5 linked regions of the Coturnix japonica genome follow. The protein of the gene in region 1 purifies or fractionates together with the protein of each later gene. This does not show direct contact. Links are inferred from orthologs where the notes say so. Each region holds a gene or a part of one and is shown in the gene's direction. Other genes may lie near its edges.

What was found.
Region 2: the proteins of LSM4 (region 1) and SART3 purify together in Homo sapiens (affinity purification with mass spectrometry; 4 studies listed by BioGRID and IntAct, counting the BioPlex papers as one, with this or other methods). This does not show direct contact. The link is inferred for Coturnix japonica from reciprocal best matches to the Homo sapiens genes LSM4 and SART3.
Region 3: the proteins of LSM4 (region 1) and PATL1 purify together in Homo sapiens (co-immunoprecipitation; 4 studies listed by BioGRID and IntAct, with this or other methods). This does not show direct contact. The link is inferred for Coturnix japonica from reciprocal best matches to the Homo sapiens genes LSM4 and PATL1.
Region 4: the proteins of LSM4 (region 1) and WDR77 purify together in Homo sapiens (affinity purification with mass spectrometry; 3 studies listed by BioGRID and IntAct, with this or other methods). This does not show direct contact. The link is inferred for Coturnix japonica from reciprocal best matches to the Homo sapiens genes LSM4 and WDR77.
Region 5: the proteins of LSM4 (region 1) and MEPCE purify together in Homo sapiens (affinity purification with mass spectrometry; 3 studies listed by BioGRID and IntAct, with this or other methods). This does not show direct contact. The link is inferred for Coturnix japonica from reciprocal best matches to the Homo sapiens genes LSM4 and MEPCE.

The regions. Positions count from the first base shown.
Region 1 is NC_029543.1:3,005,447-3,010,250, forward strand, and holds the start of LSM4 (U6 snRNA-associated Sm-like protein LSm4), read left to right. Parts: upstream 1-1,740; 5' UTR 1,741-1,855; coding exon 1,856-1,858; intron 1,859-1,982; coding exon 1,983-2,024; intron 2,025-2,152; coding exon 2,153-2,251; intron 2,252-4,399; coding exon 4,400-4,583; intron 4,584-4,804. Other genes in the region: PGPEP1 (pyroglutamyl-peptidase 1), read right to left, coding at 1-19, 1,433-1,466. UniProt on the Homo sapiens protein: Plays a role in pre-mRNA splicing as component of the U4/U6-U5 tri-snRNP complex that is involved in spliceosome assembly, and as component of the precatalytic spliceosome (spliceosome B complex).
Region 2 is NC_029530.1:5,657,261-5,660,243, reverse strand, and holds part of SART3 (squamous cell carcinoma antigen recognized by T-cells 3), read left to right. Parts: coding exon 1-261; intron 262-502; coding exon 503-655; intron 656-2,201; coding exon 2,202-2,389; intron 2,390-2,983. UniProt on the Homo sapiens protein: U6 snRNP-binding protein that functions as a recycling factor of the splicing machinery. Promotes the initial reassembly of U4 and U6 snRNPs following their ejection from the spliceosome during its maturation.
Region 3 is NC_029520.1:202,465-207,445, reverse strand, and holds the start of PATL1 (protein PAT1 homolog 1), read left to right. Parts: upstream 1-1,963; 5' UTR 1,964-2,019; coding exon 2,020-2,034; intron 2,035-2,327; coding exon 2,328-2,439; intron 2,440-2,516; coding exon 2,517-2,806; intron 2,807-3,416; coding exon 3,417-3,611; intron 3,612-3,701; coding exon 3,702-3,803; intron 3,804-3,904; coding exon 3,905-3,994; intron 3,995-4,090; coding exon 4,091-4,299; intron 4,300-4,367; coding exon 4,368-4,451; intron 4,452-4,607; coding exon 4,608-4,791; intron 4,792-4,981. Other genes in the region: syntaxin-3-like, read right to left, coding at 103-202, 277-357, 996-1,025. UniProt on the Homo sapiens protein: RNA-binding protein involved in deadenylation-dependent decapping of mRNAs, leading to the degradation of mRNAs. Acts as a scaffold protein that connects deadenylation and decapping machinery.
Region 4 is NC_029541.1:3,354,407-3,357,455, reverse strand, and holds the end of WDR77 (methylosome protein 50), read left to right. Parts: intron 1-63; coding exon 64-172; intron 173-299; coding exon 300-368; intron 369-569; coding exon 570-729; 3' UTR 730-2,161; downstream 2,162-3,049. UniProt on the Homo sapiens protein: Non-catalytic component of the methylosome complex, composed of PRMT5, WDR77 and CLNS1A, which modifies specific arginines to dimethylarginines in several spliceosomal Sm proteins and histones.
Region 5 is NW_015439878.1:132,537-137,278, forward strand, and holds MEPCE (7SK snRNA methylphosphate capping enzyme), read left to right. Parts: upstream 1-1,440; 5' UTR 1,441-1,540; coding exon 1,541-2,755; intron 2,756-3,614; coding exon 3,615-3,833; intron 3,834-4,302; coding exon 4,303-4,429; intron 4,430-4,518; coding exon 4,519-4,571; 3' UTR 4,572-4,636; downstream 4,637-4,742. Other genes in the region: ACTL6B (actin-like protein 6B), read left to right, coding at 1-11, 328-414, 506-586. UniProt on the Homo sapiens protein: S-adenosyl-L-methionine-dependent methyltransferase that adds a methylphosphate cap at the 5'-end of 7SK snRNA (7SK RNA), leading to stabilize it.

The DNA.
Region 1 (4,804 bases):
TCTCCAAAGGGACCAAACCCTGCAAGAGAAGAAAAGCCCCCGGTGAGCAGCTGAGCCCTGCACCTTGGATTTAAACCCAAGAAGCACCAAGTGCAGCTGTTGATGTGCTCTGAAAGAAAAGCCACTGCTTGTAACACCCAGTCCCTACTGGGGGTGTATTGCTGACCAGGTTAGGAACACTTGTTAGCTATGGAGGAGCTGAGTGATGGCATAGAATGGGGATCATGATTGGATCTTCTAACCCTGATTGTAACAGCCCACAAACACAGACAAGTCTCCATCCAGCATTTCTCTGCTCACACCTTCACCAAAATCCCTTCTGCCTTAATAGGAACCAAACAAAGCACTGCTGACCCACCTGCACCGAGCACCAAAGGTTACACAACGCTATAAAAACACTTACGTCCCCAAATCTGCATTTCCTAATGAGTAACTCGGAGTTAACTAGTAACCCATCACATCTTTCCCTGAGCGAGCACACAAAGGTTGGGCATTTATCTGGGCGTGGGATCGATATGCTTTAATTTCAGATGGCAGAGCTACCCTGTGAGCCTAATGCAATCAGAAGGCACGCACTGCATCTAAGTCAGGACCACAAATATTACATGACACACTAATGGAAACCTCCCATGTGCTGCCAGCAGAAGGGGAGGGCTGAGGTTACACCGCACACAACAGCAACAGGGCTTTGTACAGCTCAATGGGATCTCAGTATCAACCTGAGCCTCCAAGCGGAACCAGCATCAATATCTCCCCATAATAACCCTCCTGAAGGCTCCCACAGGATCCTAATGCACTTGTTGTTTCTCCATATATAAGCTATAGATGTGAGAGCACCAAACAGGTGTTTCATTGGGATGGTTTCAATATGAATCACACCAGCTTTCCAGGTACCCCAATGTAACCAAAACCTCTCGTTCTGAACCCAACTGAGCTGCCCCCTCACTCATCCTCCACACCGACCCCCAGATCGATTCCTTGCATATCAGATGAGCAACTTTATGGGTAGCACCAAACCCAGCCTCAGCCACCCCACACCCAGCACAGGGTCCTGCCGGGCACACAGCACTGAGCCCACCCTGCAGACCTTCATGGGGTTGCAATGGGGTCTCAGTGCGACCATCAGGGGCAGATCCAGCACCATCAGCTCTGAATGTTTGAAGCAGAGACCACCCCCCAACCCCCCCGGGGCAAGAGATGGGACAAATACAGCGGGGACCGGGGGGGGGGGGTATAACCGGAGGGGTCTGTGACACGCCGCAGCCCCGTCGCGCCCCTCCCAATCCCCGTACACCCCCACCAGGACCCCGACACCCCCATGTGCCCCTCACCGCCCCCTCCCAATCCCGCATCCCCCCCGTTGAGATAATGGAATCAGAGCCCACCCTGCCGTCCCCTCCCCACCCCCCGGTCTCGTTCCATCCGCCCGTACCCGTTACCACCACCGCCCTCCGCGGTTTCTCCATCTCCGCTCCCGCACCGCACTGAGCGACCGGCCCCGCACGGTCATAGAGCGCGCTCCGCCCCGACGCCCAGAGCGGCCCCGCGCGGCCATAGAATACGCGCCGCCCCGAGGACCAGAGCGGCCCCGCGCGACCATAGAGTGCGCGCCGCCTCGCTGCCTAGAGCGCCTCCTGAGCGCCGCTCCGTGCCGCTTCCCGCTCGGCGTTTCAATTTACGGCACTGTCGTGACGCTGTGCACCGCCAACCTCGGCGATGCTTTACGGCCGAGGCGGGTCCTGCACGCTGATTGGCTCCGCGAGGACCGCGCCGAGCTCTGATTGGTCCCGTGTGGGGCCGGGGGTGGTTTGAGCGGCAGCGCCCGGCGCGGCGGCGGCTCCGCGGTTCCGGCACGATGGTGAGTGCGGGAATGGGCCGGGCCGGGCCGGTTCGGTTGTCCCGGTACTCCCTGAGCCCCTACATGGGGATCCGAGGCGGTCCCGGTTCCCGGTTGTTGAGGCCTTTCTCTCTTTCCCCCGCAGCTGCCCCTGTCGTTGCTGAAGACGGCGCAGAACCACCCTATGGTGAGTCCCGGCCCACTCCCGCTGCGGCCTATGGGCCCGGTGCCGCCCCGTCGGGTCCCGTTGGGTCCCCGTGCCGCCCCGTCGGTCCCGGTTCCTTCATGCTGACCCCCCCCCTTTGCTTCTTCCAGCTGGTGGAGCTGAAGAACGGCGAGACGTACAACGGGCACCTGGTGAGCTGCGACAACTGGATGAACATCAACCTGCGGGAGGTCATCTGCACCTCACGGGTAACCAGCTCAATGCCAGGACCCCCATTGCGCCCATAGACCCCCTACTTTGAACAGCATCAAAGCAGATCAGGAATGAGTTGTCCCCATTGCGCCCATAGACCCCCCCCATTGCGCCCATAGACCCCCCATTGCGCCCATAGACCCCACATTGCTATCAGCCCCCAGCCCTGCAGCTGAGTGGGACTCGCAGAGATCCTCACCCTTCTGTGTGTGTTGCTTTTGCTTTGAATGTGAATGTAACGCAGTTATGAGGTGTAAGAAACGAATGAGCCCATTGACAGCAGGGTGAAGGTGCTCAGTGTGAAGGGCTGGTGACAGGTCCTGTCCCATTGCCCGCTCCATGCAGCCCCATCGAGCACAGTGCTGCCTTTCATCATCACCTGCCTCACGCCCTGTAACTCCACATCAAAAGTTATTAGGGCCTCTTGTTTAACCGGGTTGTGCCTCGTCTGCTACTTTTGCCCATGGCCAAAGTGCTCCGAGAAGAGATTGGGATCTGTGCTTTGAGCTCTGACCTCAGCCTCAAGTGTCTGGTCTTGTCCCTGGCAGCCTGTGCCTGGCCACGTTCCTGCTGCTGCTGCTGCTCTCTGTGCCTGGGAACATCACGGGTCTGTGGGGGAGGCTGTCAGGGAAACCCTTCTTCTTCAGGAAGGGTTTCTGTGCCTGTTGGACCCACAGCAGGAAGGTATTGGCCAATAGTGCTGGGGCACGGAGATGTGATGTGTGTACTTAAACAAAGCAAAGGTTTAAGAAGGATCATAACAGCAGAGCAGTGAGCCCTAAAAATCTGGATCCACAGATTGTTGGGGCAGATAAACAGATAAGTTCAATGGGAAGGGGTGGCAAGTGGCAAAGCCTTACTAGTGCTTGCAGAACAAGGGATGCCGGCCTTTAATACTGCTTCCTCATTAAGCAGCTTTGTGTTGCTGTGGGCAGAGCACTTCAGCATTTATACCCACCGAGTGGTCTGCAGTTCACTCCCCACCCCTAAATACCCCCTGGGTGCTACTGGGGGGGTATATATGGAAGCCTTCCTGGTGGCACGGTGGGGATCAGCCACTAGATGGCATGGAGCTGCGGCAGCTGTTTACATGGGGAGCTGGAACGAGGAAGCCGGGGACCTGGCTCCATCCCTTCCTGCATAGAGAGCCAAAGTGCAGCCGGGCGGATCCAGGCAGGGTGGGGTTTGCTGGGTGCCTGTTTGAAGAAGGCTGCTTGTCTCACACACACGGAACTTGCCTGTGCATGCTGCATTGCCCCAAATAACACCGGAGCAGAGGAGGAGGGGGGTACAACTTGATTCTGGAGAGGTGAAACGAGGCATTCTGGTTTCACCCACTCCTCTGGGATGTTGTGGACACTCTGTCCATGTGTGATAGTTGTGAGGAGCCTGTGTTCAGCCAAGCCCTGCAGCAGAGCACGGCCGTGCGCACGAGGTTCCATCCCTCCTCCCGCTTACATCAGTTGTTGTTCAACTTTCACATGCAGTTCCTATTCCCACAGCCACAGGAGCTGAAGCCCTGATGGGCTGTGTCCTAGCAAAGCCCTGAAACTGCCTTAAACAAAACACAGAGGCAGCTGCTCCGTAACTTGGCACCCGAAGGTTTCTTTGAACGTGATCTGTAAGCTCTTATTTTCCACAGCCGCGGTTCCTGTGCGCTGCTGGGCTCACCCCACACCCAGCTGGATGCTCCTCGCTGCTCAATCCACACCACAAAGGGGTTCAGTTTGTAGGTGACTCTGGTTGGGGCTTTATGTGCTGGAACTGCCCCGTGTTGCAGCAGCTGTGTTGAACTTACCACATTTCCCTCTCCAGTCCCACTTTCGATTCTCTTCTTGTATGAGAAGCAAAGGGAAGGTGCTGTTTCCTCTTCTTCCTTCACTTTCTGTGAGAGTCAAAGGCGGTTGTGAACGGGCTGAAACTGCAGTGGCTCATGGCTGAACGCCCCCTGACTCCCCAGCAGGTTGTAGGGCTGCGTGTTTTAAAGGGAAAACAGGAATTTCACAGCTAATTATGGGTTGTACATTCAGAATAGACTATTACATCTGTCGCACGCTTCAGAAGTGATGGAGATATTCAAGTGTCAAAAAGCAACTTAAGTGCACGTGGTTTTGTTCTCAGCTTAACACGTTGCTTCCCAATAGGATGGTGACAAGTTCTGGAGGATGCCAGAGTGTTACATCCGTGGCAGCACAATTAAATACCTTCGGATCCCCGATGAGATAATTGACATGGTGAAAGAAGAGGTGGTCTCCAAAGGCAGAGGCCGTGGTGGGATGCAACAGCAGAAGCAGCAGAAAGGCCGCGGTGTTGGAGGTGCTGGACGAGGTAACGATCCTTTTTGCTTTTCAGTTCAGAGAGGGGGTGACTGGGATTCCTGCCTTTAAATTCCACCTCTTGTGCAAGGAAGGGATGATGCTTCTCAGTTTTGAACCCAGAGCTGTTGGTCTATGAGAAGCTGGAGCTGCTCCTGTGCAAGATCGAGTTGAGTGAGTGTTGTCTGGCTTCTAAGTCAGCCTCTGCCAAAGAGCAGAAAGGAGACGTGCCAG
Region 2 (2,983 bases), on another chromosome or scaffold:
ATTACCGTCTTTGTCAGCAACCTTTCCTACACCATGAGAGATCCTGAAGTGAAACTGAAAGAGCTTTTTGAGAGCTGTGGGGAGGTAGCACAAATCCGTCCAGTATTCAGCAACAAGGGGACTTTCCGGGGCTACTGCTATGTAGAGTTTAAGGATGAGAAGTCTGCTATCCAGGCTCTTAGCTTGGATCGTAAAGTTGTGGAGGGAAGACCCATGTTTGTTTCTCCTTGTATTGACAAGAACAAGAATCCAGACTTTAAGGTAAACTTGAATTCTTTCAATAGTATGTTGAATATGTTGGAATAAGGAGTTAATTGAACAGTGGGACCTGGCTTCCTAATTGAGCATCGTTGTGTATCTGTCAAGGTGCTGCTCATGTCTTTAATGGGTTGTTGTTTTAATCACAGAAATGTAACCCCAAACGCTTGAGTATTTTATAGTAGGTTGAAATTCCCTTTGTTTCAAACTGATTTGAGAACTAACAGCCTGTTAATTTCTGCAGGTGTTCAGGTATAGTACCACACTGGAGAAACACAAACTGTTTATATCTGGTTTGCCATTTTCCTGCACTAAGGAAGAGCTGGAAGATATATGTAAAGCCCATGGGAATGTGAAAGACATTAGGCTGGTCACCAACCGAGCTGGAAAACCCAAGGTAGGCATCATTAATACACTCTTAATTTCAATGAAATCCTTCAAAAAGAAACTTTTCATAAGATCTGGATACAAAAAGTAGGTCATATAGCTTAATGCAAGTACACTGAATGATTATTGTTGTCAGCCTTTGTACAACCCAGTGTGCTTTTATGCCAACAGATAAGAAAAAGAGGACAATGAGAATTTTTTTTCCTGAAATACTTATTCAATTGCTTAAGAAAAGTGTGTGATCTAATGGGGAGGAGGAAAGGTTATCTACAGCATTTTCAACTTAGAAAGAGGCATTCGTAAACCTGCAAAGAATATTTGTTTCTGAATAACCAACTGGATAGAGTTCACTTGTAACTGATTCCTTTCTTCCTCTATCTTCAGTTTCTTGATGCTATTGTTCAGGGCACCTGTTGCAATAGTACATTTGGCAGTGAGAAATGAGACACCTTTCTGGCAGGTGTTATTTCCATGCTGGAATAAATGGGTGTTTGTTAACTAAGAACTAAACCAGTTTTGGCTGTACTGCCAAAATTCCACCTGGAAACTCTGCCCTGTCTGGATGTCAGGCACTTCCACCAGGTGCCATGCTGGTGGTGATGTGTATGCATTTTAAATTGGATTTTTAACTTCTGTTAATATTTGGAGCATATATTCTAAAGAGTTCTCTTTTGGTATCCCAAGCCTTGTGTAGTCTGTGTTCTCTGCTGTGAGAGCTGTGATTTTATTTAAACCACAATTAAATACACTGGAATCAAATATGAATCCTGGTGTATTTCCAGTCCTGCAAAACTGGATAATCCAAAAACACAGCATAAGGGTTTGAGTGGGACTTAAGAATCACAATAAGAGAACTGGGAGGTGATGCCTCCCAGCCATAGTGCACTCCCTGATAGCAGCCTGGTACAGCAGATGCCAAGGGGAGGCCTTTTCCTTTGCTCTGCTGGAAACAAGACACCGTTACTCAAGGTGTACCAGCAGCAGGTGGTTAGCAGCTGTTACCTTGTGAAAGCAACACAGATTCATTTCCTGCAAAACAGGCTTTTGTCATCAGTCTCTGTTCTGGAGGCAGTGATTCCAGTCTCTTAAAATCAGTGCCTTTATGTTGTTATTGCTGCTTGGGGTGGCTTTTACTCCACATGAAACTCAGGTGGGCCTACATTAGTGGGCTTGCTTCTGTAGATGCAAACTGAGAGTGTTTTTGTGGATCCTTCTGTTCTATCTGTGTGGATTTATGTGTTTTCACCCCCTGTGAACCCAAATCTGTCCAATACCAGATGTATCCTGGATGGATGTATAATAGATATTTAGAAGTGAAGCCTTGTTGCTGAGGCAATACTTCGTGACATTTTATTGGGATCTTTCTTCATTATACATGAAGAAAGAATGTAGGATATAGATTTGCGTAAGAAAGAACTTCTCTTTAGTTAGTCTTAAAGAATACTGGGATTTGTGGCTTTGTTTAGCTCCACTTTCTGTGTGGTGTTTTCTATTCCAGCTGTCATGCAGAGGAAGAAGCACTAAAACTAACGTGGGTTACCTCTTTCCTTATTTAGGGCCTGGCCTATGTGGAATTTGAAAACGAAGCCCAGGCCTCGCAGGCTGTGCTGAAAATGGATGGGCTGACAATTAAGGAACACGTCATCAAGGTGGCAATCAGTAACCCACCTCTCCGAAAGCTGCCAGACAAGACTGAGGCAGGCAGAGCCTCCCAGTTTGCAGTACCACGGCAGATCTATGGAGCGTGAGTACTGGCAAGGGAGACAGCTTGGCCATGCTTAGAAAGCAAACATTGGGTTTCTTTGTAGGCAAAAACGTAGGAATTCCCTCTGGAATGTGAGGGAACATCTAAAATGTACTGAATAATAATAGTAGTAATTGATTGATGAGGAAAAGTAGACTTTTCTTCTTCACATTAGCGATAGAAATAGGTCTATAGTGACCAAGAGGATACATTGGACATCCTGGGGTGTGTTGTTCATACCTGAGCCCTTTTAACTTTCACAGCCTCTTCTTCCAAAGAGCTGACTGTTCACAGTGAGTTCTGAGGCTACTCTTTTGCCTCCCGAGTGCTCTTGCTGCTTGCAATTGCTGTCGCTCTGTGCATGCCCTGTAGATAAAACATGGAGCTTCAGTTTCTGGGATCTGCTGGGCAGTTTTTTCTGTCAGGAATGCTGTTTCAAAGGGTGTCCATTGAAAGCACTGCTTACTACTGAAACAAATGGCAAGAATAATATTTAATGGGTGTTCCCTGTAGCAAACAAAGAGCTTTCTGTTTCTCTAGACTAGAACAGTATGCTCATAGAGCATTAGGATGTTTCTAAGTGCCATTTTTTGC
Region 3 (4,981 bases), on another chromosome or scaffold:
GGGAATGGGGCACTGAGTCGGGGACGCCATCACAGGTGTGTCTCCAAGGAGAGGACGTACAGCCCCGATGGGGCTGGGGGGGGGGCGCAGCCATGCTCTCACTCTGCTCGGGGATGGGGGCCGAGAGGATGACGCTGTAGAGCTTCTTGGCCTCCTCCACGTTCTCTGAGATCTTGTCAATGTTCTGCCTCGTCTCCTCGATCTGGGGGGGCCGTGAGGACACGTCACCTGTGCACCCCATCCACCCCACGTCCCCCACGTCCACCTGCTCCACACCTCGGCAAAGAACTCATCCATGAAGGCTGTGTTGTCGATGGCGATTTCCAGCTCGTCGGTGTCATCCTCAGCATCCTGCTTCTGAGGGAAGCAGAGAGGGGATGCTCAGGGGACACCTGGGGACACGCGGTGGGTGTGGGACGAGGACAGGGAGGGGTCGCGGTGGCCCCTGTGCGGCGGGGGGGGGGGCCGGCCGGGTGCCATCTGCTCGCATCTGGCCAGCGGGAATTAACGGATTGCGGGGCTGGGCCGTGGGCGGGGATGGGGACAGGGATGGGGCGCTCCATCGTGGGGCTTTGTGGCCCCCAATTTCACCCCACGGCGGCTCCACGCGAGCTCCCCTCTGCCCCGCATCCCCCCTTGCCATGACCGCGGTGTCGTGCCCCGGCCACCCCCACCCCTCCCATTTCTGGGGTAAAAATAACACTAATCCCCCGCTCCCCCCCGATGGTGGGCAGCGCCTCCCTTAATCCCCGCTAAATCCCCCACGGGCAGCACGGAGGCCGCGGGGCAGCGCAGCGTGAGGAGCACCCCAAGAACCCTAAAGGAGGACAGGGGGCCCCACGCGTGTCCCACATCCCTTCCTGCGCCCCATAGCGAGGACGCAGCCAACCCAAACCCTCCCAGGGCTCAAACCCCCGGTCCCCTCCAGCCGTAGGGCAGCACCCATCATTGGGTACCCCCACGGGTGACCCCCATTGCTGCCCTGCACCCCTCACCGCCCGGAGCTGCTCCAGCCGGTCCCGCATGGTGCCGGGCTGCCAGGACTCGCCGCCCGCCCGCTGCCGTCCTACATCAGCCCCGCTAATCCCCGCTGATGGGCACTCGACGAGGGCAAGGCTGAGGCGGGGCTGCCCGCACCAGCCACGTGTGATCCAGGCACCCGAGGGGGGGTGACAAAGGTGCCAGTGACAGCAGTGTCACCACAGCCTACAGGTGGCCCCGGCACAGGATGGGGGACAGGGGGTGGTGAGGGACAGGGGGACACGGCCATGGGTAGGGGATGTGAGTGGTGGGATGTGGGTTGGAGGACAGGGACATGGATAAGGGATGGGAGTGTTGGGACACGAAGTGGGGACACGGCTATGGGTGGAGGGAACGGGCGGGGGGACACAAGGTGGGGATGTGGCTGAGGGTGAAGGACGCGGGCCGTGGGACGTGGCCATGGATGGGAGGCACGGGTTGGAGATGTGGCTCACAGTAGGGGACACGGGCCGGGGCTGTGGCCATGGTTAGGGGACATGAAGCGGGGGACATGGCCGTGGGTAGAGCACATGAACTATGGGATGCAGGTTGGGGGGACGTGGCCGTGTATAGGGGGCTCGAACTTGGGAGAACGGCCACGGTTAGGGGACGTGAGCTGGGGGACGTGTCCGTGGGCAGGGGTCCCGCGTGGGGGGACACAGGCTGGGGGACACGACTGGAGGGAAAGACCCAGCGGACATCGCTGAGCCGTGGCTGGCGTGTGGGGCACGGCTGGGGCAGCAGCGCGCGGCCGGGGCACGACGGCGCACGAGTGCACGGAGGCGGTCAGAAAAAGGCGGCCTGTCCCTTTAAGAGCCGCCCGCAGTGGGGCGCGGCGCTCTGTGAGCCTTCGGCTGGGCGGAGCTCATTTGCGCATGCGCACCGCACGGACGGGCGGAGGAGGTGACGTCATGCGCGTGCGCCCGCGGCGGCGCATGCGCGGCGGGGCCGTAGCGGGCCGCGCGGAGCCTGCGGGCGGGGGGCGCCGCCGCCGCCGCCATGTTCCGGTACCCGGTGAGCGGGGGGAGGGGCTGAGGGGGCTGAGGGGGCGGGGTCGGGCCGCGGGGGTCGGAGCTCGGGACTCCGAGTTGGGTTCGGGGCCGCGGCTACGGGCTCAGGGTCAGGGCCGTGGGGCCGCGGGTCGGGCTGAGGGTCGAGGCTGTGGGCTCAGGGCCGAGAGTCGGTGTGGGCGCTGTGCTGGGACCGCTGCTCGGGACCGGGGCTGCCGGGCAGGGCTGGGCCTTGGCCTCGGTGGCAGCGCCGGTTCGGTAGTCGTGGTGGTACGAAGGCACCGTCTGCCGCTGCAGTCCCTGGAGGAGTGCCCGCTGGACGAGGAGGAGGACGGCTTCCAGGTGCTGGGCGAGGAGGATGAGGACATCGATCAGTTCAACGATGACACCTTTGGGGCCGGGGCTGTCGGTGAGTTCTCTGTCTCTTGTCCACACTGCCCACCCGGTGCTCTCTGCCGCTGCGCTCAGCCCGCCGTTCCCGTGCAGATGATGACTGGCAGGAGGCCCACGAGCGGTTGGCTGAGCTGGAGGAGAAACCCGTGGGCTCAGGGCAGCAGGCCCAACCCAGCAGTGAGGATGCGGAGCTGCTGGGGGAACCTGAGGATGCGCTGGCGGAGCGACTGACACGGCTGGTGATCGAGAGCGAGCTGGAGGACCCTGCCATCATGAGAGCCGTGCACACCCGTGGGTCTGCTGCACAGAGCGTGACGCTCAACACCAGCATCTGGGATGGCCCCTCTGTGCTGCAGCGCATCCGCACGCCACTGCTCACACAGGTAGGGGCACAACGCTGGGCACACGCAACGAAGGGTTGCAGGAATGGGGGAGGGTTGAGTGTTAGGAAGAGGTTCTTCACCACAGTGGCTGTAGGTGTGGAGAAGGCTTCCCGGAGAAGCAGGCACTGCCCCACACTACCAGAGCTCGAGGAGTGTTGGGGCAATGCCCTCAGATGTAGGTTTGTGTTTGGGGCGTTCCTATGTGGGGCCGGGGGTTGGACTCAGTGGTCCTGTGGGCCCCTCCCAGCTTGGGATATTCTGTGGCTGTTGGGTGAGCTGCTCTTGGACATCACTTCTAGTCCCTGCACATGCTCCCTCTGGGCTGGGAGATGCCACGCAATCCCTGATGGTGTCAGCACTCAAGATTTGGGATCGTCAGTGCCTCGAGCCATAATTGTTTTCATTGCTGGTTGACAGAGAGTCAGGCTTAATTAAGAGCTGGGCGCAGGATCCTTAGGGCTCTCTGAGAACCCTGGCTGGGGCGTGGGGATCTCCAGCACTGGGAAAGCGCAATGGGGCGGCTCCTCTGTTCTATACCACGTCATATTCAGTGCACCTTGCCACCACGTCCAGCTCTGAGTCTTTTTCACAGGGCCACTTTTACTTTCAGGAGATGCCATCGTTGTCCGTGCTGGACTACGCTCTGCCCCAGAGACCCCCACAGGCTCGGGAGGAGGAGCGGGACCCCTCGGAACGGGCACTGCCACGCCGCTCATCCTCCCCCATCATCGGGAGCCCCCCCGTGCGAGCAGTCCCCATCGGCACCCCACCCAAGCAGGCCACCATGCCCAATTTTAACCAGCAGGTATGGCCCCAACTCCTCACAGCAGGTGCAGACCCCTGCACCCCTGGTGAGGATCCAGCGGTCAGACCCCCACTGCTTTCCTTCTCTCAGATCCTGTGTCCAAAGCCTGTCCACATCCGGGCTACCATGCAGCAGCGCTACTCTGCTCCCTACGGCGAGAGGATGTCCCCCAACCAGCTCTGCAACGTACCGGTACCCCCTGCTCCCACCCCCATAACCCTCTGATGCCCCGACTGCATCATACTGCCTAGGAGGACTGTGACCAAGGGGTCTGCTCCTTTATTTTCCTGCAGAACTCTTCCTTGCTGGGCCACCCGTTCCCTACCAGTGTCTCTCCCGTTCTCACCCACCTGCAGCGGGCACAGCTGCTGGGAGGTGCACAGGTAAAGCCCTAGACTCTGTGCCCCCCAAGGCCCATAGGGGCGAGGGTCCAGCATTCTGATGGACCCTGCCTGATCCGCACTCCCTCTGCCCCACAGGCTGGCCGAATTTCTCCTAGCCAGTTTGCTCGAGTCTCAGGCCTTGTTGGGAGCCCACTACCCTCCGTCAACCCCAAGCTGCTGCAGGGCAGAGTGGGGCAGATGATGGCTCCCACTGGTGGCTTTCGTGCCTTCTTCGGGGCTGGCCCCACTCCGCCCTCACAACCGCAGCCTCCGCCGGGCCCCATGCCTCACCTGCAGGGCCTGAGGTAGGCACTGACCCCCTCATGATCATTCACCTGCCCCACGGCCCTCTAACCCCCTGTGCTCCCCACAGGCCGCAGCCCTTCCGACTGGACACCACCCACCTGCACCCCCAGCACCGCCGGCTCCTGCACCAGCGGCAGCAGCAGAACAGAAAGTGAGCACTGGGCGGGAGGGAGCGTGAGGAGGTGGGCGATGCTCCGGTGCCGGCTGTTCTGGGGGGCCCATGCAGCCGGGGGTAGCCTGTGCACCACTCTCTGTCCCTTCCTGTAGCTCCTGTGTGTTCATGGGTGCCCTTCTTGCCTCCTGCCAGCCAGCACCGTGGCCTCAACGGCTCGGTGGGGGACCGAGGGGGCCACCGGGGCAGCCACCAGGAGCAGGTGCGCAAGGACCCCTACGCCAACCTCATGCTGCAGCGGGAGAAGGACTGGGTGTCTAAGATCCAGATGATGCAGCTGCAGAGCACCGATCCCTACTTGGACGACTACTACTATCAGGTATTGGGAGGGAGGGCAGGGGTGGGGCCAGTGGGAGGGAAGAGCCGTCACACCCTGCCTTGAGAAAGGGAGGGCTGAGGAGCATCGGAGAAGATGTTGCTGTCTCTGTGGGTACTGGGATGGAGTGCTCTTGAAGCACTGCTGTGTGAAGGAGAAGCGGGGGGGGAGAGAACTTTGCTCCTGGGGTGCT
Region 4 (3,049 bases), on another chromosome or scaffold:
TGAGGTCTTTCTTTTCACGTGGCAGCTTTGCTGATAACCTCGTTCTCTCTTCTCCTCCTAAAGGTGATGAAAGTGGAACGGTTGCACTAGTAGACACAAAGAATCCTGATTCTGCCCTCAGCTCCATTGTGCACGCCCGACGTATTACGGGCTTTGCATTTTCTGCACATAGGTACTGTCTAAAACAGGGGTGTAGGGTGTACAACTACGTACACTCAAATGCCAGAGTAAAGCATTTTTTTCATTAAAGCTTTTGTGTATTTAATTGTTCTAACTGTGGTCTCTTCTCTGCCCTATAGCTCACCTTTGCTGGCTTCCATCAGTGAAGATTGTACAGTAGCTGTTCTCAACTCAGACCTTTCAGAGGTGTAAGTACCAGACAGTGTATTCACTGGGGCTGTTTCTCTTGCTGATTTCTCACTAATTATTTATGTACCAAAGGGAAGATGAAAATACTCCTTAAACTGGGGAACGTTGTCCTAACAAACAAGTAATTAGGAAGTGTTCAAACCCATATATTCATAGCAGCATTGCTTCATTGCTTCATGGCTGATTGCTCTGTTTTCCAGGTTCAGAAGCCGTTCTCATCGAGACTTTGTCAAAGGTTTATCATGGTCTCCTTCAGACAATGCCTTGCTCACTACAATTGGATGGGATCATCAGGTTTTACATCACACTGTCCCCATACCAACTGGTGAAGCTTCCGGAATCAACTGTGTAAAAGAATAGTTTTATAAACTCATTGGTCTAAATTCCTTCCTGGCATTACTTTGGTTCTCCTGAAGTCGACGATGTTTGTGAACTGGAGTGGTTATGGATTATTGTCTGCCTTGAACCTTGTGACTAAGAAGGTTCCTGTAGTAGTTTTGAGTTAAGCATAAATTAGTTGCAAACCAGACTGTACCACCTCCTCAGGAGTTGGATTCACCTGTGAAAAGACTGCAGTTTTTTATCCTGGAAAAAGAAATAGTGGCTTCAGCCACAGAGGAGCCTTGAACAGGGAATTAGGTATAATAAAATGAAAGACTTGTTTCTTCAAACCACTCACAGAATGAATAGAAACAGATTATTTGGGGAGGTAAAAAGGAACCACCTTTACTGAGGTAGATGCAAAAGCCTCACCTGAGCAAAGTGTTCACTGTTGAAATACTTCCTTCCAATGGGGCAGGAAAACGTGTTGGAATTTTAAGGGTAGAAGAGTTTCCTTGTTGTCTGTAGTGCCACAGTCAGTGTAGGTTGGTTTTTTGCATCTTCTATTGCAAATAATCCCACTGTGAGCACTGTATGTGCACTTCTGCTCCACTGGTGGGTATCAGTACCAGTGCTTGGTGTGATACGTCACATATGCTGTATGATAAGGATCTCAGCTGCAGTCATTAAACATCTTTGTGATGGTGCATGACATGCTGAAATACCAGGACCTGTAATGCTCAGCATTGCTTGGAGCTGAGAGCAGCTCAGAGGCTTTTCTGCAGCATGCTGAAAGCTGAGAGAAGTTCACTTGACACCACATTTCAGCTTCTCTGTGCTGAATGCAACTTACAGAATAAGGTTTGTGAACAGAAGTTCGTATAAGGGGAAAAACTGGACTAAGGACTTGAGTCTTCATTTTGCTGCTCCTGTTATCAGACTGCTTAGTGATAAATAAGGCTCCTGATACACATTCAATGAGTGACTGAGAAGATCAAGCAATTTCCATAATCCCCTCAAAGACTTCACGTAATCCTTAGAGGTTGGGTTTTGTTCTTTGGGTATATTTTTTGGGGGGTAATATAACGTACAACTCAAACCAAACTGTTTCCTTTCAACATATTTAACTGACAATAAACGGCATTGCTCTGCATACATGGCTGCTGCTCCAGGTGTGGCTTTCCTAGAGACAACAGTGGGTTTTAGCGAATGAAACAGAAACTACTGTTAAAAACAAATGCTACATTGCCCTTACTGTGATAGCAATGCTACACTGTAAACATCTACAATCATTTTTCAGAGCAAAATTCCCCATCTAGAGCATTGTAATCACAAAGAACAAGTTTCCTCCATGCTGCCCCTTGGAAGAGTTCAAGGCAAAAGGTTGTGTATTACAGTGCAGCTTGTGAACAAGATGTCTTTGCAAAGGATGGAAGATGGTTTTTAAATAAATCACAGTTTTCATTTACAACTGGCTCTTCAGTTTCACCTGGCTTCCTGTGCAACGCCAAGAGCCAGCTGAGGTCACGGCCCTGGAGTTACAACTGTGCTTAAATAAACTCACCGCATGCAATGCAAGCAGGGACAAGTTTCAAATAGGAAGTTTTAAACCACCTAAGTTCCTCAGCTAACCGTGCTGCAGAGCTCTGCAATCCATGGCAAAAAGTGATATAGTGGTGGAAGATGAGGATCATGTGGAGAAAAGGTCACTTGGTATTTCATTCCTGTTCTTGTACAGCTGATTAAAGACTTGGCATAGTAGCACATACTGGGCTTCAGCATCCTGCAAGCCTTTGGGTAAAGCTCTGTGTTCCACCGCAGGAGGGCAGCAGCATGACAGCAGAGGTTTGCATGCATTAAAGACCATCTACCCTTTTTACTGCTTGTTTTTTTTTCCCCCTACCATCATAAATAAGCACAGAAGTGCATCACTTTATTTAGTAGCTGCTACTGTGTTAGCTTACCAAGGCTATAAGCACTGGGAACCAACAAGGCCATAAGAAGCAGTGTCATACCAGCACAGGGGCAGAACACTGACACCATCACATCGATGCCCACTGACTTACAAGCTATTTGCAAAGGAACTGGAGGACTCTGGGTTTCATGATGTGCTGATGCTGCCCAAACTGCTTCACACCCTGCTTAGGTTTGGGGACACTGCTGTAATATATTGTGGCTAGAGAAAATGCTTCAAGATACATTGCACGCTTCCCTAATGAAGAACGTTGTTTTGTAGCCAGGATTAAAGAGATGAGAATGCAAATAAGTATAATTTGGAGGAGTGGAGAGAGTAAGCCACTCCGAAAACAAGCTGCCTTTTATGTTAGTGCTTGCATTGCTCATCCTGCGTTTTCAATTT
Region 5 (4,742 bases), on another chromosome or scaffold:
AGACCCCCCCGGTGAGTTGATGGGAGCCCCCCAATGGGAGGCGGCTTCTGGGCTCCCAATACATCCAGTGCCCCCCCCCAGCGCCTCCCAGTTCCCCCCCAGTTCCACCCACTCCTTCCCAGTGTCCACCAGTCCCTTCAATCCCGATTGACCCCCCAGCACCCCCGATCCCCCCCCACTGCACCCCATTCCCTCCCCTATAGCCCCCTATTGCCCCCCAGTCCCTCCCAGTGTCCTCAATCCCCATTCCAATCCCTCCCAGTATCCCTTTTAGTGCCCATCCTGGTACCCCCCATTCCCTCCCATTCATTCCCCCCCCTCACACAGAGCATGCGCCTGAAGCTGATCGCCAGTAACAGCACCATGGAGCGGCGCTTCAGCCCCTGGATCGGGGGCTCCATTTTGGCCTCCCTTGTGAGTTGGGGGCGATACAAACAACGTGGGGGGGGGGCAGCGATTTGTGCCCCCCCATCTCCCCCCCCCCGACCCCTCCCCATGTTCCCAGGGCACGTTCCAGCAGATGTGGATCTCCAAGCAGGAATACGAGGAGGGGGGCAAGCAGTGCGTGGAGCGGAAATGCCCCTGAGCCCATTAACCCTCGTTAACACGGAGCGAAAGAATGAGGAGAAAATAAACGGAACCGGAGCAAAAAGAGCCGATAAATGGAACCCCCCCCCCCAGGCCTGGAGCTGGGCGCAGGCCTCGATAGGCCGCACTGCTGTGAATGGGGGCTCAGCGCCTTCACAGCGGCACAGGGAGGGGCCTGGAGCCGCCTGGGCGGTTGGGGCCGGGGTTGTGGCCGCTGTTATTTCGGTGACATCTTTTTTTTTTACCAAAATCGCCCGTTTTTCCCTCAAAACGCGGCCTCGCGCCTCCGCTTTCCCTCCCGCCGCGGGAGCGCGCTCAGTGCGCACGCGCTTCCCCCTCAGCGCTCCGCGCCACATGTGCGCATGCACGACGCACAGAGGGCGCCCCACTGCGCATGCGCGGCGCGCCGAGGCTGTGCGCATGCGTCACGTGCGCGCGCCGACGGGTGACGCGTGCGCCGTGTGCACCCGGCGTCTGCGCACGCGCATTGGCGAAAGGCAGCCGCTCTGCCGCCCGTGCGTCCCGCGCTGCGCCGTCACCGTCCGGGATAACGGGGAGCAGCGTCGGCCGCGGCCAGGAACGGCCGGGAGCCCAGCTGCCGCTGTAGCTTTTCGTTCAGGCACCGCCGTGGACAGCCCAGAACCGCAAGGCCCCCGCGAGGCCCCCGACGCGCTGTGCAGCCATTGGTCGCTACCCCCCTCTTCCGCGCGCCACTTCCTCCCATTGGCCGCCGCCCACTCCGCCTCCTACCGATTGGCGCAGCCCTCCGTCCGCGCGCCACACGCCATTGGCCGTCTATCGGTTGGGGGGCGGGGCCCGTCGTGGCCCCGCCCCTCGGCTATATAAGGAGGCGCAGGGTGCGACTCGCCTGCCATCGCGGGAGGGAGGTGGCGCGCGCCGCACCGTCCGGCTCCGGCTCGTTGGACTCGGCGGTGGGCGGAGCGGCCGGGCCATGATCGAGATGGCGGCTGAACCCGACGCGTTCCGGGCCCCTCCGCCGCCTTTAAGGACCGGAGAACCACCGGGGGGGGGCGGGCCTGCACCGGGCGGCACCGACACCACCGGGCCCCAGCGGCGGAGGGGACGGGAGGAAACGGACGGAGCGGGGGAGGCCCCGAGACCCAGGAACGGCTTCAGAGCGACCGGAGGAGGCGGCGGGGGGGGCGGAGGGGGGGGAAAACGGCGGAGCAGCTGCACCGGATCCAAACAACCGCCGTGGAAACGGCGCCGGAGAGCGACGTCGGAATGTGACCCCGCGCTGCCGTCCGAGTTCCTGCTGGGGGGGAACATCTTCGACCCGCTGAACCTCAACAGTCTCCTGGACGAGGAGGTGAGCCGCACGCTGAACGCACGCACCCCGCAGTCATCACCGCTACCGGCACGAGGACGGGACCCCGTGGAGATCCTCATCCCGCGGGACATCACCGACCCGCTCAGCCTCAACGCGCCCGGGGGGGATGACGGGCTCCGTCTGGCATCACCTGCCAAAGCAACGCGACGTCGGCATCGCCACCGGGGTCAGCAACGGGGGAACAGCACCAACAGCACCAACAATAGTATGGAGCCAGAGAGCAGCACGGAGCACGGGAACACGGCCAGCAGCAGCACCAACACGGCTGGAAACAGCAGCACAACGTGCTCCAACAGCCGGCACCGTAAGAGGAGAAGGACTTGTAGTAAATCAGAGGCCGCCCGATCTACGGCGTCACCGGAGAAAGGGAAAGGGGGAAACAACGGCCCTAAAACCCCCACGACGGCCCCACGGCGCCGCAAGAGCCAGAAGTTCCAATATGGGAATTACTGTAAATATTACGGCTATCGCAACCCGGATTGCGAGGACGGGAGGTTGAAAGCCATGAAGGCCGAGTGGTTCACCGGGAAGGAGGTGCTGGATGTGGGGTGTAACGTGGGGCACGTCACGCTCAGCATCGCCAAGAGGTGGGGGCCCAGCAGAGTGGTGGGGCTGGACATTGACGGGGCCTTGATCCGCTCGGCCCGGCAGAACATCAGGCATTATCTGTCCGAAGAAATGGCCGCCGTGGAGGGAGGGGGGAGGAAGGGGTTCCCTGCGGCGCTGCTGGCCAGCAGGGGACCCATCGCTGCCCCACGGCTGCCCCCCGACGGGCCCGGAGCCTCCGACTTCCCCCATAACGTCGTGTTTGTCACGGTGAGGGGGCGGGGCTAAAGGGAGGGGGCGGGGCTAAAGGGAGGGGGCGTGGTTTGGGGGTGGAGCCAATCGGAGAGGCGGGGCTAATGGGCAGGGGCGGGGTTTGGGGCGGAGCCAATTAGAGAGGCGGGGCTAAAGGGAGGGGGCGTGGTTTGGAGGCGGGGCTAAACGGAGGGAGCCTGGTTTGGGGCGGGGCTAAAGGGAGGGGGCGTGGTTTGGGGCGGAGCCAATTAGAGAGGCGGGGCTAAAGGGGGGCATGGTTTAGAGGCGGGGCTAAGGGGAAAGGGCGTGGTTTGGGGCGGGGCTAACGGAAGGGGTGTGGTTGGGGGCGTGGTTAAGGAAAGGGGGCGGGGTGTTGGGTTGGGGCGGGGCTAAAGGAAGGAAGCGTGGTTAAAAGAGTGACATAGAGTGAATGGGCGGGGCTAAGTTTGGGGGCGGGGCTAAAGGCACAGCAGGTTTAAGGGGCGTGGTTAAGGGCGGGGCTAAAGGGGGCGTGGTTGGGGGGTGGGGCTTTACAAGGGGTTTGATTTTAATATGGGGTGTGGCTAAATGAAAGGGGTGGGGCTAAAGGAGGGGGTGTGGTTTGGGTTGGGGTCAATAAATGGGAAGGTGACACAGTTGGGGTGGGGGTAAATAGGGGGTGTGGCTAAAGGGGTGGTGCCGATGGAAGGGGGTGGTGCTTTGAAGGGGCTGTGATTAGGATGTACATGAAGGGGTGGGGCCACTCCCCCTTTTCTAAGTTCAATCCCCATCGTTTTTGAAGATCTCCTTTAATCTGTTATTTAACCCCCCCTACCCAGTCTCTTCCCCATTGCCATGAGACCCCTCCTAACCTCTCTCCCACCCATCCACCCCATAGGGCAACTACGTCCCCGAACGAGAGGAGGCGGTGTGGGCCCAGCGCCCCGAATTCGACGTCCTGCTGGTTCTGTCCCTGACCAAATGGGTGCAGCTCAACTGGGGGGACGAGGGGCTCAAAAGGTTGTTCCGTCGGGCCTACAGACACCTCCGGCCTGGGGGGCTGCTGCTGCTGGAGCCACAGCCATGGGCTTCCTACCGCAAGAGGAAGGGGCTGACGGTGAGATGAATGGGGTTATGGGGCACCAATGGGGGACTGGGGGGGATATGGGGGTTGGGGGTGCGGGATGGGGGTCTGCTCTTGTCTGTGGGATGGGTCCAGCTGTGAGCCTTTGGTTGTGGGACCCCTATAACCCTCCCCAAAGTCCCCAGCTGGACTGTGGGAACCTCCCTCAGAGCCTTCAGCTCTTTAAGATCTTCCCACCCATATCCTCCCAACCCCCTCATTGGAGCCCTATAACCCTCCCCCCAAATCCCCTTAACTCACCAAGACAACCCCCCCCAATCCTCCACTGCAGCCCCATAATCCCCCAAACCCCGCTCCAAAAGCCCCAGATCCCTCTCCTAATTCCTTCCAACACCCCATTGCCCCCACAGAACCCCTTATAACCTCCCCTCAGCTCATAGTTGGGTTATGGGGCCTTTAGTTGTGTGGCCCCCTCCCCATTTTAACCCTCTCCACCTCACAGGAGACAACGTACCGGAACTACCACCGCATCCGCCTCCGCCCGGAGCAGTTTCCCTCCTATTTGACCTCCCCCGAGGTCGGCTTTGCCAGCTACGAACTGCTGGGGACCCCTCAGCACAGCGCCAAAGGTGGGGGGGGGGGACACAGCGTTTATGGGGGAGGGGACAGACGGGTCATACCCCTCCCCTAACACCCATCTTCCCTTTTCCTATTCCAGGCTTCCAGAGGCCCATTTATCTCTTCCACAAAGGCCAAGGAGACGCCCCCTGAGCCCCCCCCCCGCAGATAAAAGGAGATTTGGATGGAAGGGGTGCCCCCCCCCCCCACTGCCAGCCTGAGGTGCAGCTTCCCCCCCCCCTTAGATCCGCTGCACCACAGGTTGCAAATGGGGGCAGAGGCTGCGGGTCCAGTAGGGGGGTGTCACGTTTGTGCAGTTTGGGG